Coturnix japonica: one gene and its partners. The protein of the gene in region 2 purifies or fractionates together with the protein of the main gene of each other region. This does not show direct contact. Links are inferred from orthologs where the notes say so. Each region holds a gene or a part of one and is shown on either strand. Other genes may lie near its edges. The genes, in order: CTTNBP2NL, STRN3 and CCT2.

Evidence for each region.
Region 1: the proteins of STRN3 (region 2) and CTTNBP2NL purify together in Homo sapiens (affinity purification with mass spectrometry; 4 studies listed by BioGRID and IntAct, with this or other methods). This does not show direct contact. The link is inferred for Coturnix japonica from reciprocal best matches to the Homo sapiens genes STRN3 and CTTNBP2NL.
Region 3: the proteins of STRN3 (region 2) and CCT2 purify together in Homo sapiens (affinity purification with mass spectrometry; 3 studies listed by BioGRID and IntAct, with this or other methods). This does not show direct contact. The link is inferred for Coturnix japonica from reciprocal best matches to the Homo sapiens genes STRN3 and CCT2.

The regions. Positions count from the first base shown.
Region 1 is NC_029541.1:3,554,710-3,558,356, forward strand, and holds part of CTTNBP2NL (CTTNBP2 N-terminal-like protein), read left to right. Parts: intron 1-383; coding exon 384-614; intron 615-2,389; coding exon 2,390-2,497; intron 2,498-3,234; coding exon 3,235-3,647. UniProt on the Homo sapiens protein: Regulates lamellipodial actin dynamics in a CTTN-dependent manner. Associates with core striatin-interacting phosphatase and kinase (STRIPAK) complex to form CTTNBP2NL-STRIPAK complexes.
Region 2 is NC_029520.1:30,850,800-30,854,546, reverse strand, and holds the start of STRN3 (striatin-3), read right to left. Parts: upstream 2,186-3,747; 5' UTR 1,993-2,185; coding exon 1,678-1,992; intron 1,554-1,677; exon of another isoform or gene 371-1,553; intron 1-370. UniProt on the Homo sapiens protein: Calmodulin-binding scaffolding protein which is the center of the striatin-interacting phosphatase and kinase (STRIPAK) complexes.
Region 3 is NC_029516.1:32,201,077-32,204,823, reverse strand, and holds the start of CCT2 (T-complex protein 1 subunit beta), read right to left. Parts: upstream 2,774-3,747; 5' UTR 2,641-2,773; coding exon 2,638-2,640; intron 2,312-2,637; coding exon 2,237-2,311; intron 1,683-2,236; coding exon 1,617-1,682; intron 750-1,616; coding exon 638-749; intron 186-637; coding exon 109-185; intron 1-108. UniProt on the Homo sapiens protein: Component of the chaperonin-containing T-complex (TRiC), a molecular chaperone complex that assists the folding of actin, tubulin and other proteins upon ATP hydrolysis.

The DNA of each region.
Region 1 (3,647 bases), on a different chromosome or scaffold from region 2:
GCAGCTCTCGCTGTTGTACGCTTGAGGGAAGCATTTTATTTCTCAGTGCTGTTTATTGAGATGTCAGAAAGCACCTTTCCCAATGAAAAGAGAGCAGAGAAGGCAGTATTTGTCAGTCAGAATGGAGCTCTCCTACCTAAAATTTGTCCTTAAGCAATCCTGTAAGAAATGGTTGATGCTTGGTAATGGTTTGCCCATCATGTTCCTGCTGAGGAAGTGAGCAGTGATGCTGATGTTGTTCTAAGTGCCCTCATCAGCAATATCATGATATCACAGAATGACCTGGGAAGGGGGGATGTGAACTCTCAACAATTTCCTTTTATTTTGTTTAGCAGGGTTTGTGCTTTAAGTATATTGACGTGCAAATTTGTTTTGATACACAGGCCCAGCACAGGGACACCTTCATTGAAGAACGCTATGGAAAGTACAACATCAGTGATCCATTAATGGCTTTGCAGAGAGATTTTGAGGCCCTGAAAGAGGCGAATCATGGCGAAAAGCAGCCAGTGTGCTCCAACCCCTTATCCATCCTGAAGGTGGTGATGAAACACTGCAAGAATATGCAGGAAAGAATGTTATCCCAACTAGCTGCTGCAGAAAGCAGGCACAGAAAGGTACGTTTTGCTTCTAATAAGCTACACAGAGGTGGATAGCTGCCTTTTGAAGTTATGTTGGTTTCGATAACAACACTGAAATGCTTGGATTTTGGTGACTGAAAGGGCTGTGCACCTTCATGTGAGCTACTTGTCACTCTATGATGCAACTGGGAGGCTCAGCAACTGTAGTGATAACATTGAGGTTTCTATTAGAGGACATGCAGAAGGAATTACCTTGCCCAGAACCAAGAGATGTAGTTGCAAATGTAAGAGAATAGCTGGGTGGTTGAATTCTGAGCAGACATATCACTGTTCCCTATGATCATCAAGGATCTGGTACCACCTACTTATGGGAGAGTGCCTCCTATAAGATGAGCTTTCCTAACACAGTGTGACGTGGCCAAAGCTGCTTTTCATGCTGTTTGGTCTCTTTAATAACTCACTTGTACATGAATGTACCTTGAATGAGTTGTCATCAGTGATGTTCAATCAGGCTTCTTCCCATAGGCTTGCCCATCTAGCACACCTTAGTTTGTTAGAGGAGGATAAAGCCACAGTGTATAGAACTCAAAGACCCACTACAAAGTACTTTCTTCTTTTATCTACTTAGCTCTTAAAAAACAAACACACAAATCCCTCTGTTTACATGGTGTTATCTCCAGCACCTGCACTGCAGTGCTGTGTCTCAGCCTCTTCACATAGAATGGCCTGGGTTGCAAAGGACCTCAATGCTCATCCAGTTCCAACCCCCTGCTATGTGCAGGGTCACCAACCAGCAGCCCAGGCTGCCCAGAGCCACATCCAGCCTGGCCTTGAATGCCTGCAGGGATGGGGCATCCACAGCCTCCTTGGGCAACCTGTTCCATTGGGTTACATACTGAGAAGCAGCTGGGATTTTGCTTTTACTCGCATCAGAGTAAGCTTTTACAGTGCCAAATTTAAGTCTTATTTTTAGCTACTGTTTTGATGGGGATATGGCAGAGCAAGGTTCTTTCAGTCTGTGAGGAGCGTGAAGCATTTCTGATGCAGAAATCACTCACAGTGATATGAGCTGCCAGCTGGGCTTCCCATCAGTGTGCTGAGTGCTGGCAGCTGGAGCTTTCAACTGCCCATTGGTGTGCTGGGAGTCATGGGAAGCATGATGTGTGTCACCTTTCAGACAAGAATCTAGCTAAATATTCACAGGAAAATCAGATTTCACCCCCCCCCCCCCCTCTTTTCCTCTAATAAAAAGGTTCCCTGTGTACTTGAAAGATATACAAGCATTGTTTGGAAGCCTAAATTGCAGGAAGACTGAGAAGCTGCTGTAAATTCCTGGTCGCTGTTTTTTGGAAGGCCTGGAGGTCTGCAGGGTGATGCAAACTCACCCAAGAGACTCCACCATATTTGGCTTTCTTTTTGTTGAGCTAATAGAATTTCAGTTGTTCTAGATCAGCATAGAAACTGAAGGAGCTCCTTAACCGGGTCCTTATGGCAAGCGGTTTCATTTCAAGAGCTCATCTCATTCTTAAGTGGAAGAAGAAATGAATGTTCTTTAAAATAAACTTTGCTCCGCAGCCCTCAAATGGAGCAATCTGTCTGCAAATTGCAGCCTGTTGTGCCACGTGCTCTGCTCCTGTTGGCTTTGTTAGAGGTGCAGACAGGAGGTGACAGGTAAGGTGCAGCCAGTAGTGACAGATAACACAGTGGTGGCTCTTTTGTATAAGCTAACTGCAGTGTGGGTGCAGGTCTCTGTGTTTTGTTCAGCATGTGAGCACAGCAGGGCACTGTGGTGACCAGTGTTTGCTTGGCAGGTGATCCTGGACCTGGAGGAGGAGAGGCAGCGACATGCCCAGGACACAGCAGAGGGGGATGATGTCACCTACATGCTGGAGAAGGAACGGGAACGACTCACCCAGCAGGTACAGCTCACTGCCCAGCCCGTGGTTCCATGCAGCTTCAGTTGGTTTGCTGAGGCCAGATCACACCTCAGTGTCAAAAGAATATCATGAGCCTCACACCTTTGTGAGTCCCTCTGAGTTATTATCATTTCAATAGGAAAAACAGATGTAGTTTTCTGGTAAGCTGTTCATAAATGAGTGCTTTGTAATCTTACTTCAGACCAAAATCTGTGCAGTTCTGAAGAGCCCAGAGCCCTGCTCACAAGTGATGATGCTTTCTAGTACTTAAAAATGAGAATAAATCATGAAAGGTCTCCTAAGGGGGTTGTTGAGAGATTATAATAAATATTTAAGCTGCTATTTTCTGTTACTGAAGCACTGTGGGCTTTAATAAACATAAATAACACATCAGCATTTTAAAGGCTAAATGCTTCTAAAAGGCAAACTGACAAAGCAGTAGATGGGGTGGAAGGAAGATTTGCTTCAGATCAGTGCGTGCCAGCTGCGTGTAGCTTAATGCCAACTGAATTTCATGTGCTAGTAAGTAATAATCCATAATGTACATGAACAGAGCTCCTTATTGTACAAGGCTGTCCCACAGACACCAGGGGAAGGGCTTCTTTATTCACCTTAGGCATAGCCATCTTTTTCTGGGCAGTATTTCCAACGTGTGTTGTAAACCCTTTTGCTTTTGGGTTGTTATGCTTTGTGGAGGCGTTGTGCTTCCCATACAGCCTTTCTTTGCTCCTCTCTTCCAGCTGGAGTTTGAAAGATCCCAGGTTAAGAAGTTTGAGAAAGAACAGAAGAAACTCTCGAGTCAATTGGAGGAGGAGAGGGCACGCCACAAGCAGCTGTCCTCCATGCTTGTTGTAGAGTGCAAGAAAGCCACTGCCAAAGCAGCAGAAGAGAGTCAGAAGACGGCAGAACTGAGCTTGAAACTGGAAAAAGAGAAGAGCAAGGTGAGTAAGCTGGAGGAGGAGCTGGCATCCAAGAGGAAGCGGGGCTTACAGATGGAAGCACAAGTAGAAAAGCAGCTTTCGGAGTTTGACATCGAAAGAGAGCAGCTGAAAGCCAAGCTGAACAGGGAAGAGAACCGTACAAAAGCACTGAAAGAAGAAGTGGAATCGTTGAAGAAAGCCCTGAAAGAGCTGGAGGCTGCTTGCCAGGAGCA
Region 2 (3,747 bases):
CAGTCAGAGTTTTCAACATCTCAAAACTGCACCTTACATTTATAGAACGAGGTACTTCACTGTGAAGTCACAAGCCTATACACAAAACAAGTACTTCAAGATGGTCTTGCTTGATAATGAACACCACTGAGCTATTTATTTACCTATCAATACAGTACTATACTACTGAGACGCTACAGAAGATATGAGAACAAGTCCATTGCTACTGAAAATACCCACCCCATTTCCACCACAGTGATTTTAGGATCAGCTGTTCTGAAAGGTTTAAAATAGTAAATCAGGCAGTAAGTGAAATAAATAGCAAAATCTCTCTTACTATTTATTTATTTATTTTTTTCTGGGGGGAGGAGGGGGAAGGTGTGATGTTTTGTTTTCTTTTATTCTATCTCAATTCAAGCTGTAACAACAACAACCCTGCAAATTACACATGTGGTCTAAGAGTTGAAAAATCCTGAAAGAATTGTCCAGGTTTAGGTAGAGTTCTCCATTCTACAGTCTGAAGATGTACACAGACATACATCAAGATGTACACAGACGTACATCACAAACACTGGCTGCTGCTACAGCATGTTTCCACAAACTGCAGGTAAGGCGTGATTTGATGGAATGCTGCTTCAAGACTGCAAACATTCACCCAACATATAAATCATAACAAGAAACATTCTTTTTTAAACAATTTTAACTGTTATGCTTTCATAGGAGAAAAAAAAATGCACAACTTATAGACAAATGCCTCAGACTCTGTAGATTTCATAAACTGAACATAAGTTTGTGATGCGTGGCTTTATTTTTTATATGAACACGTAAATACAAGAGATCTTTTCCATTATGAAAAGCAAACATTTATGGCCAGAGATCTATGCTGGAACTCAAACACTTGCTCCCTGCCCTCTAGAGTTGTTCAATTTTTGCTCCTGACACAGAGTTTGTATTTGTAGGACAAGGATCACACTGCAGACCCATCAGCTCCTCACTATTCTTCAGCAGTTGCTTCTCCCACGTGAGGTCTCCCAAGAAACAAAAAGGAAGGAAAGAGAGCATGTGTTCGACCTGTCTCCACCGTGAGAACCCGGTCAAGTCCGTTGCTTGCGAGATTTCTCGACCCCGTTCTCAGCGTTCTCCCACCTCGGCAGGCACCGCCGCCTCCCCGCTACCCCGAAGGAGCCGCTCGCTCAGCTCCGGTGAAGCCGTATCCTTCCACGCCCGCGGGCCGCAGCTTTCCCAAAGCAGCACCCAGGGCTGAGCAGGGCCGGGCTCCGAAAGCCCCCGAGTCATTGTGCTCGGGGAGGGGACCGCAGCTGTCAGGGCGCTCCGGGCCCTGCCCCGCACGACCGATCAGCGCGCTCAGCGGCCGCCCGCCCTCCTCCGGCGTTTTGCGGCCCTCGAGGCCCGCGGAGCCGGGTTGGCTCCGGCGCCAACAGCCCAGGCGGGCGCCATGCTAAAAACCAAAATGGCTGCCCCAGGGAAGGGAGCCCAGCTCGGGCCGTGAGCGGCCGCGCCTCCGCCAGCCCCGCCGCCCGGCGACGTCGCTTCGCCGTCCGGCCCTCGCGCAGGTACCGCTCCCGTCCCGCAGCGACCGCCCCGGCCTTGGCGACCCGCCGGCCCCGCTCTCCCGTGCGGCCCCGAGACCCCGAGTCGGTCCCGGCCCCGCGCGCGGAGCCCACCCTGGGCCCGTACCTGCAGCTCGGCCCGCTCCACCTCCCAGTGCGCCCGTTCCATCTCGAAGCGGGCCCACTCGTGCTGGATGTAGTGCAGGATCCCCGGGATCGTGTAGTGCTGCGGCCGGGACAGCTCGGCGGGGCCCGCCGCCTCCTGCCCGCCCGGGGCCGCGGGGCCCTGCGGCTGCTGCTGCCCTCCGCCGCCGGCTCCGGCCCCCGCGCAGCCCCCGCCCGGCTGCAGGTTCGCGTTACCCCCGCTCTGCGGCGAGGGCTGCTGCGGCCTCGGCGCGGCCGCCATCCCGCCGCCTCCTCCGGCTCCGGGGTGCTCGTCCATTGTCTGCGGGGAGCCCTCCTTCTCGTCCCGCGGCGGGGGGCCACGAACGGGGGCCGGGGAGGGGGCGAGCGGCGCTGGCTGCGGCGGGCGGGAGGGGGCGGGCCGGGTACGGGGAGGCGGGGGGCCGCGCCGAGCGGTATCCGGGTGTCAGAGCAGCGCCCAGCCGCCGCCAGCCGCCATTACAGCCCGCCGGGCCTCGGCCCACCCACACGGGAAGGGGGAGCGGCACGGCGCGCGGGGCATGCCGGGAACTCGCTCCCCTCTCCCCTCCGCTCCTTCCTCCCGGCCCGACGAGGCGGCGGAGCGCGCATGCGCCTGGGGGAGGTGAGCGCCGTGACCTGGGGGGGGCTGCGCTGAGGGGCAGTGCGGGCTGATACTGATACTGATACTGATACTGATACTGATGATACCGATACCGATACTGCTCACTGAGCGGGCGGGGGGCGGCCGCTTTGGGAGGGGCTGTAAGGCCGCTCCGGTTGTGCCTCGCCGGGCTGTGCTGGGCGCTGCTCGGTGTGTCTCACAAGTAGGTGGTTCTAGAACAGGTTGGCTGAAAGTGCTCTGGCGGTGCCCGATCCTAATTGTATTGTAATGAAGGTCGTCTTCGTGCTGTTGTAGTTGAGGGGTTTGTGTAATGTTTCCCCTCCGTGATGGGAAGAACGAGCGCGCACATTAGCAGCAGGTTTGGTGTGCCATGGCAGCACAGCCCGGGTTGGCTGCACAGCATGGACGTGGTGAAAGCTGGGCTGCACAGCACTGCCCTGAAATGCAGCGCTACCAAGTGCCCACCACGTCCTGGTGGATCTGTAGGCCGCCCCTTCACAAATAACACACGGGTTCGGTTTTACTTCCCTAAAAATGCATATGCTGTATATATGGGTGGAACATGGATGGTGTCCTTAATGGGCTCGTTCTTGACAGTGCTGTAATTGTATTAAATGCCGAAAAATAAATCCTGCTTGTCCCAGTGCTGGCATTTCCTCTCTGCTGACCTCAGGTGCATGTTGCTGTTTCAGTTGTTTTACCAGTTCCTATCCGACTTTTCTCCATTAAGTCATTTCCTACCATCATTTCCTCAGTCTTCCCTTTTCCACACTGATCAGCCTGTCTGAATCCAACTTTTCCACCTCAGCAGATTTTTTCATTCTCCCCAGACAGTATCAAATCGTGACCAAAAATTGCCCCTTACCTCACAGTCCTCTTGGCCCTTTGTTTTACTCCAGCCCTTGAGACATTCCTCATTGCCCATTACCTTGGAAGTGCTGCAGTTTAGCTCCGTTACTATATTCAGGCAGCATGCTGACAACCGCTCTGCAAAGGAAAACTTTTTTAGCTGCTTCCTTCCTCCTTGGCTTCCCCAGATTAGTAAGGCTGCTTTTCTTAAAATTCCTCATCCTGAAGTTAAATATGGTGATTTATTTCAAAGCCACGTTGACAAAGTTGTTTCATTTCTGGGTGGACAGTAATTTGAAGGCTAAGGCCCAGAATACAAAAATGGTCACTCTTATTGATACGAGTTTTAGTAAAGCCTGTGCACAGTCAGAACAACAACAAAAATAAATAGAACACAGGTATAAACCATATGAACTGTCTTCATTTGCTACATGCTTTTTCACAGCAGACTCGTAGCTGGAAAGTTGATCAGACCAGTGTATACCTCAAAAGTGTTTGCCCACCTGCTGTCCCCTGCTCGCACTGGGCCACTGGGCCATTTTTAATTCCAGGTTAACCTATTTTGTTCTACATTTAGTACAG
Region 3 (3,747 bases), on a different chromosome or scaffold from region 2:
TTCCTATCCTTTGGGAGCCCACTTCATAAGCATCAACAACACATCTCCTACTGGCATCCCAGGACTACACAGCCTATATGAAACCGTCTAAAAATGTTAATACATCACCCTCAGCAACTCAGCTGCCAACACTGTGACAGACGTAGTTCCATCACCAACTTCATCATCTTGAACCTTTGACATATCTAAAAGAAAGGCACTGCATTAATGCTTGCATTCAAAACAGACTGAACGCCCCTAGCAGCTATTATCTTCAGCATTTGTACCTCACATGACTTTAAGGAAGAAAAAAGAATTCCACTGCCAAAGAGGCTGTCAAACTGTAACTCAGACTGAAACTGAGATGCAAATCAAACACAACATCATCCTTCAAATTCCCCATCGTCGTTTGCAACACAGACCTGTTTTAGCCTATCAGTATTCAAGAGCCACCCCCCTCTCAACGTGTGCCTAAAGATCATGATCAAAATAAAGTAAGGCCAGACAGATGCTCTCAAGTATAGATAAGCAATATCACAGAATATGTCAATTTTTCACACTGTGTAGAATATTTCTCTATGAAGAAGTTAAAACTACGTAAGAAAGTTACAAGTGAAGAAATTCCATGTATGACAATGACAAACTGTTAGAAACTCACCAACCAAGACCTTGGCAGCTGGGTTGTCAACTCCAATAGCTTTCAGGATGGTTGCACCATCATTGGTCACTGTCACCGTGCTATCCCTCCCAGTACTGAGGAGAATCTTGTCCTACGTGATGCAAGAAATAGAACAGTTTGAAAAAGAACAGTAACTATTAAAACTAAATTATCATACAATGGTGCGAGTTAGAAGGGACCTTAAAAACCATCCAGTTTCAACCTCCTGCTGTGGGCTGGTCGCTGTCCACCAGCTCAGGCTGCCGAGGGCCCCATCCAACCTGGCCTTGAACAGCTCCAGGGATGGGGGTATCCACAGCTTCCCTGGACAGCTGTGCCAGGGCCTCTTTACCCTCAGAGTGAAGTATTTCCCCCTTATAACTAATCTAAACCTGCCCTCTTTCAGAGTAAAAATATTACACCTTGTCCCATCACTACACACTCTTCCCAGCTTTCCTGTAGGCTTCTACACCGGAAGGCTGCACTGAGGTCTCCCTGGAGCCTTTGTTTCTCCAGGTTCAACAAGCCAAGCTCCTTCAGCCTGTCTCTGTAAGAGAGGTGCTCCAGCCCTCTCATCATCCCTGTGTCCTCTACTGGACCCACTCCAATAGCTCCACGCTTTTCTTGTGTCAGGCACCCCAACCCAGAGTATTGCAGGCATGTCCTCTTAAGAGAGAACAGGGGGGACAATGCCCTCCCTCTCTCTGCTGATTACAACTGTTTCAATACAGCCCAGAGCATGGTTGGCTTCCTGGACTACAAGCATGCATTGCTGGCTCATATTCAGCTTTTCATTCAACAATCTATCCAAGTCCTCCTCCACAGGGCTCCAGTCATTGCCCAGCCTGTGTTCATGTCTGCGATTGCCTTGACCCAGGTGCAGAATCTTGCACTTGGCCTCACGAACCTCCATGAGGTTTGCGTGGGCTAAAGCCTGAAATGAACAGGTCTGACCACTGAGGACTTGAAGCTATCTTACCATGCCTTTAGGTCCCAGAGTGCTCTTGACCAGGTCACCAATAGCGATTGCACCAACAAAGGATGACTGTAACAAAAACAAATACACCTTAGAAAATTCTTTATTTCTACTTTAAAACAGTAAGTAAGAGCTAGGCTCTAACTTCCAAGGGGACATCTTAACTAAATTCTTCTACAGGCAAACTCCTTCCAGAAGAATCTGGTTCCAAGTTTCTTAAGTGCTACATTTCAGTAACGTACTTAATTTTTGCAGTAAGCATAAAACCACATAACAGAGCCAAAAGACTTCCAAGGAATAAGAACCTCCTAAGCTGAGATACACAGAATCACAGAATGACCCGGGTTGGAAGGGACCTCAAGGATCATGTAGTTCCAACCCCCCTGCCTGGCAGGGCCACCAAACATACACCTTTACTAGATCAGGTTGCCCAGGGCCCCATCCAGCATGGCCTTGAAAGAAGAACACTGCTGATATGAACAAAACACTTCTACCTTCTGTAACAACAAAAGACAAAACGAGACTACTGAAGCTCTACAGCAGTACACATTGAAAGTAAATTTAAATGTAAAAGAACGACTGTAATTACCCAGAGCATCATTTATCTGAGAGAATAAACTTACCAACCGAGCTGTTTCTGCTTTCTCTTCATCTGCACCTGCCTTGAAAATGTTGACGGGAGCGAGAGAAATGGACGCCTACAGCAGAGAGAGCAGAGAATAGTCCCGGAGCTTTGACAAAACACTGTATTCTAAACACAAATCCCCAGCACTAGCAAGCTAAGATGGCTTTAATACTGAAATCATTCCCGTGTCACGCTTGGTTTTGATAACAAGTACATTAATACTGAATAGACCCGCCCGCGGCCTAACGGGCTCGCCTCGTGCGCGCTCTGGAACCTTCCAGGCCCAACCTCCTCCTCCACACTCCACTCCACTCCCCGCCGCTCCGCGCCTCCTTCGTTCCCTCTCCCCCCCTCGGGTGGAAGCTCCGCGGGCGCGGTGCGGGGCCGTCCGTTGCTCACCATGATGCCGAGGGACACACAGCCGGCTCCGGTACGGGACGAGCTCACACACCGCCACACAGCGCCACAGCACGGCGGAATTGCCGTCACAGGAAGCGGCGGGGATGGAGCCGCGCGGCGCTGTGGGAGATGCAGTCCGCACCGAGGCGGGGGGAGGGAGCGGGATGGGGCAGCCCGCCATTACCTCAATGGGGGCATACAGGAAAGGGACTTGTCACAGAGCACAGAGCATGTACAGCTACTAAGCTGTACACTGAAACAGGGCTCGTTGAGATTAGACATTTATATATGAGGGTGACGGAGCACTGGAACAGGCTGCCCAGGGAGGTGGTGCAGTCTCCTTCTCTGGAGATATTCAAGACCCTCCTGGACACCTACCTGTGCGACGTGGTGTAGGGAGCCTGCTTTGGCAGGGGTGTTGGACTCAATGATCTCTAGAGGTCCCTTCCAACCCCTACAATCCTGTGTGATATTACAGAAGAGCAAAACAGGCTACTAATGCAGTATGCACCCACACTAACAGCAGCACATATTAAAGTAACCCACACGTTATTTTCAATGTAAAATCAATAGTTTATTGCCATGCTACAATTATTATTATTTTTTTTTCCAAATGAAGTTGGCACTGGTAAAGGGGAAAACATCATAATACATAATACAGCTTTAAAGGTGAACATTTGGTAAGCTTTCTCAATTAGGATCGCTTCAAACAAGGGGGGGGGGGGGGGGGNCTGTTTGTTTTTTGTTTGTTGGGGTTTTTTGTGTGTTTTTTTTTTTTTAAGATTAACATGGAATGGCATAAAAATACACTCTTTCTGCATAGTATAATTTTCATCAAAGAAATATGGAATGTCTGTAAAAACAAATTCATCCAACAGGGCAAATGAAGTTTTATAAACAGTTTGGCAATGATACTCTCACTGTTTAGACCTTTTTATATAAAAGAAATAAAAATCTAGAAAGCTACCTTTATACAAAGTTGCTATATTTATGCCTTTAAGTAGGAAAAAAAAAACATTTTATAATGCAAATTAGGACATACAATAATCTTACAATATCATACAATGTAATGACAAGAAAGGAACATACAACGTAAGATTTTGGCCTTTT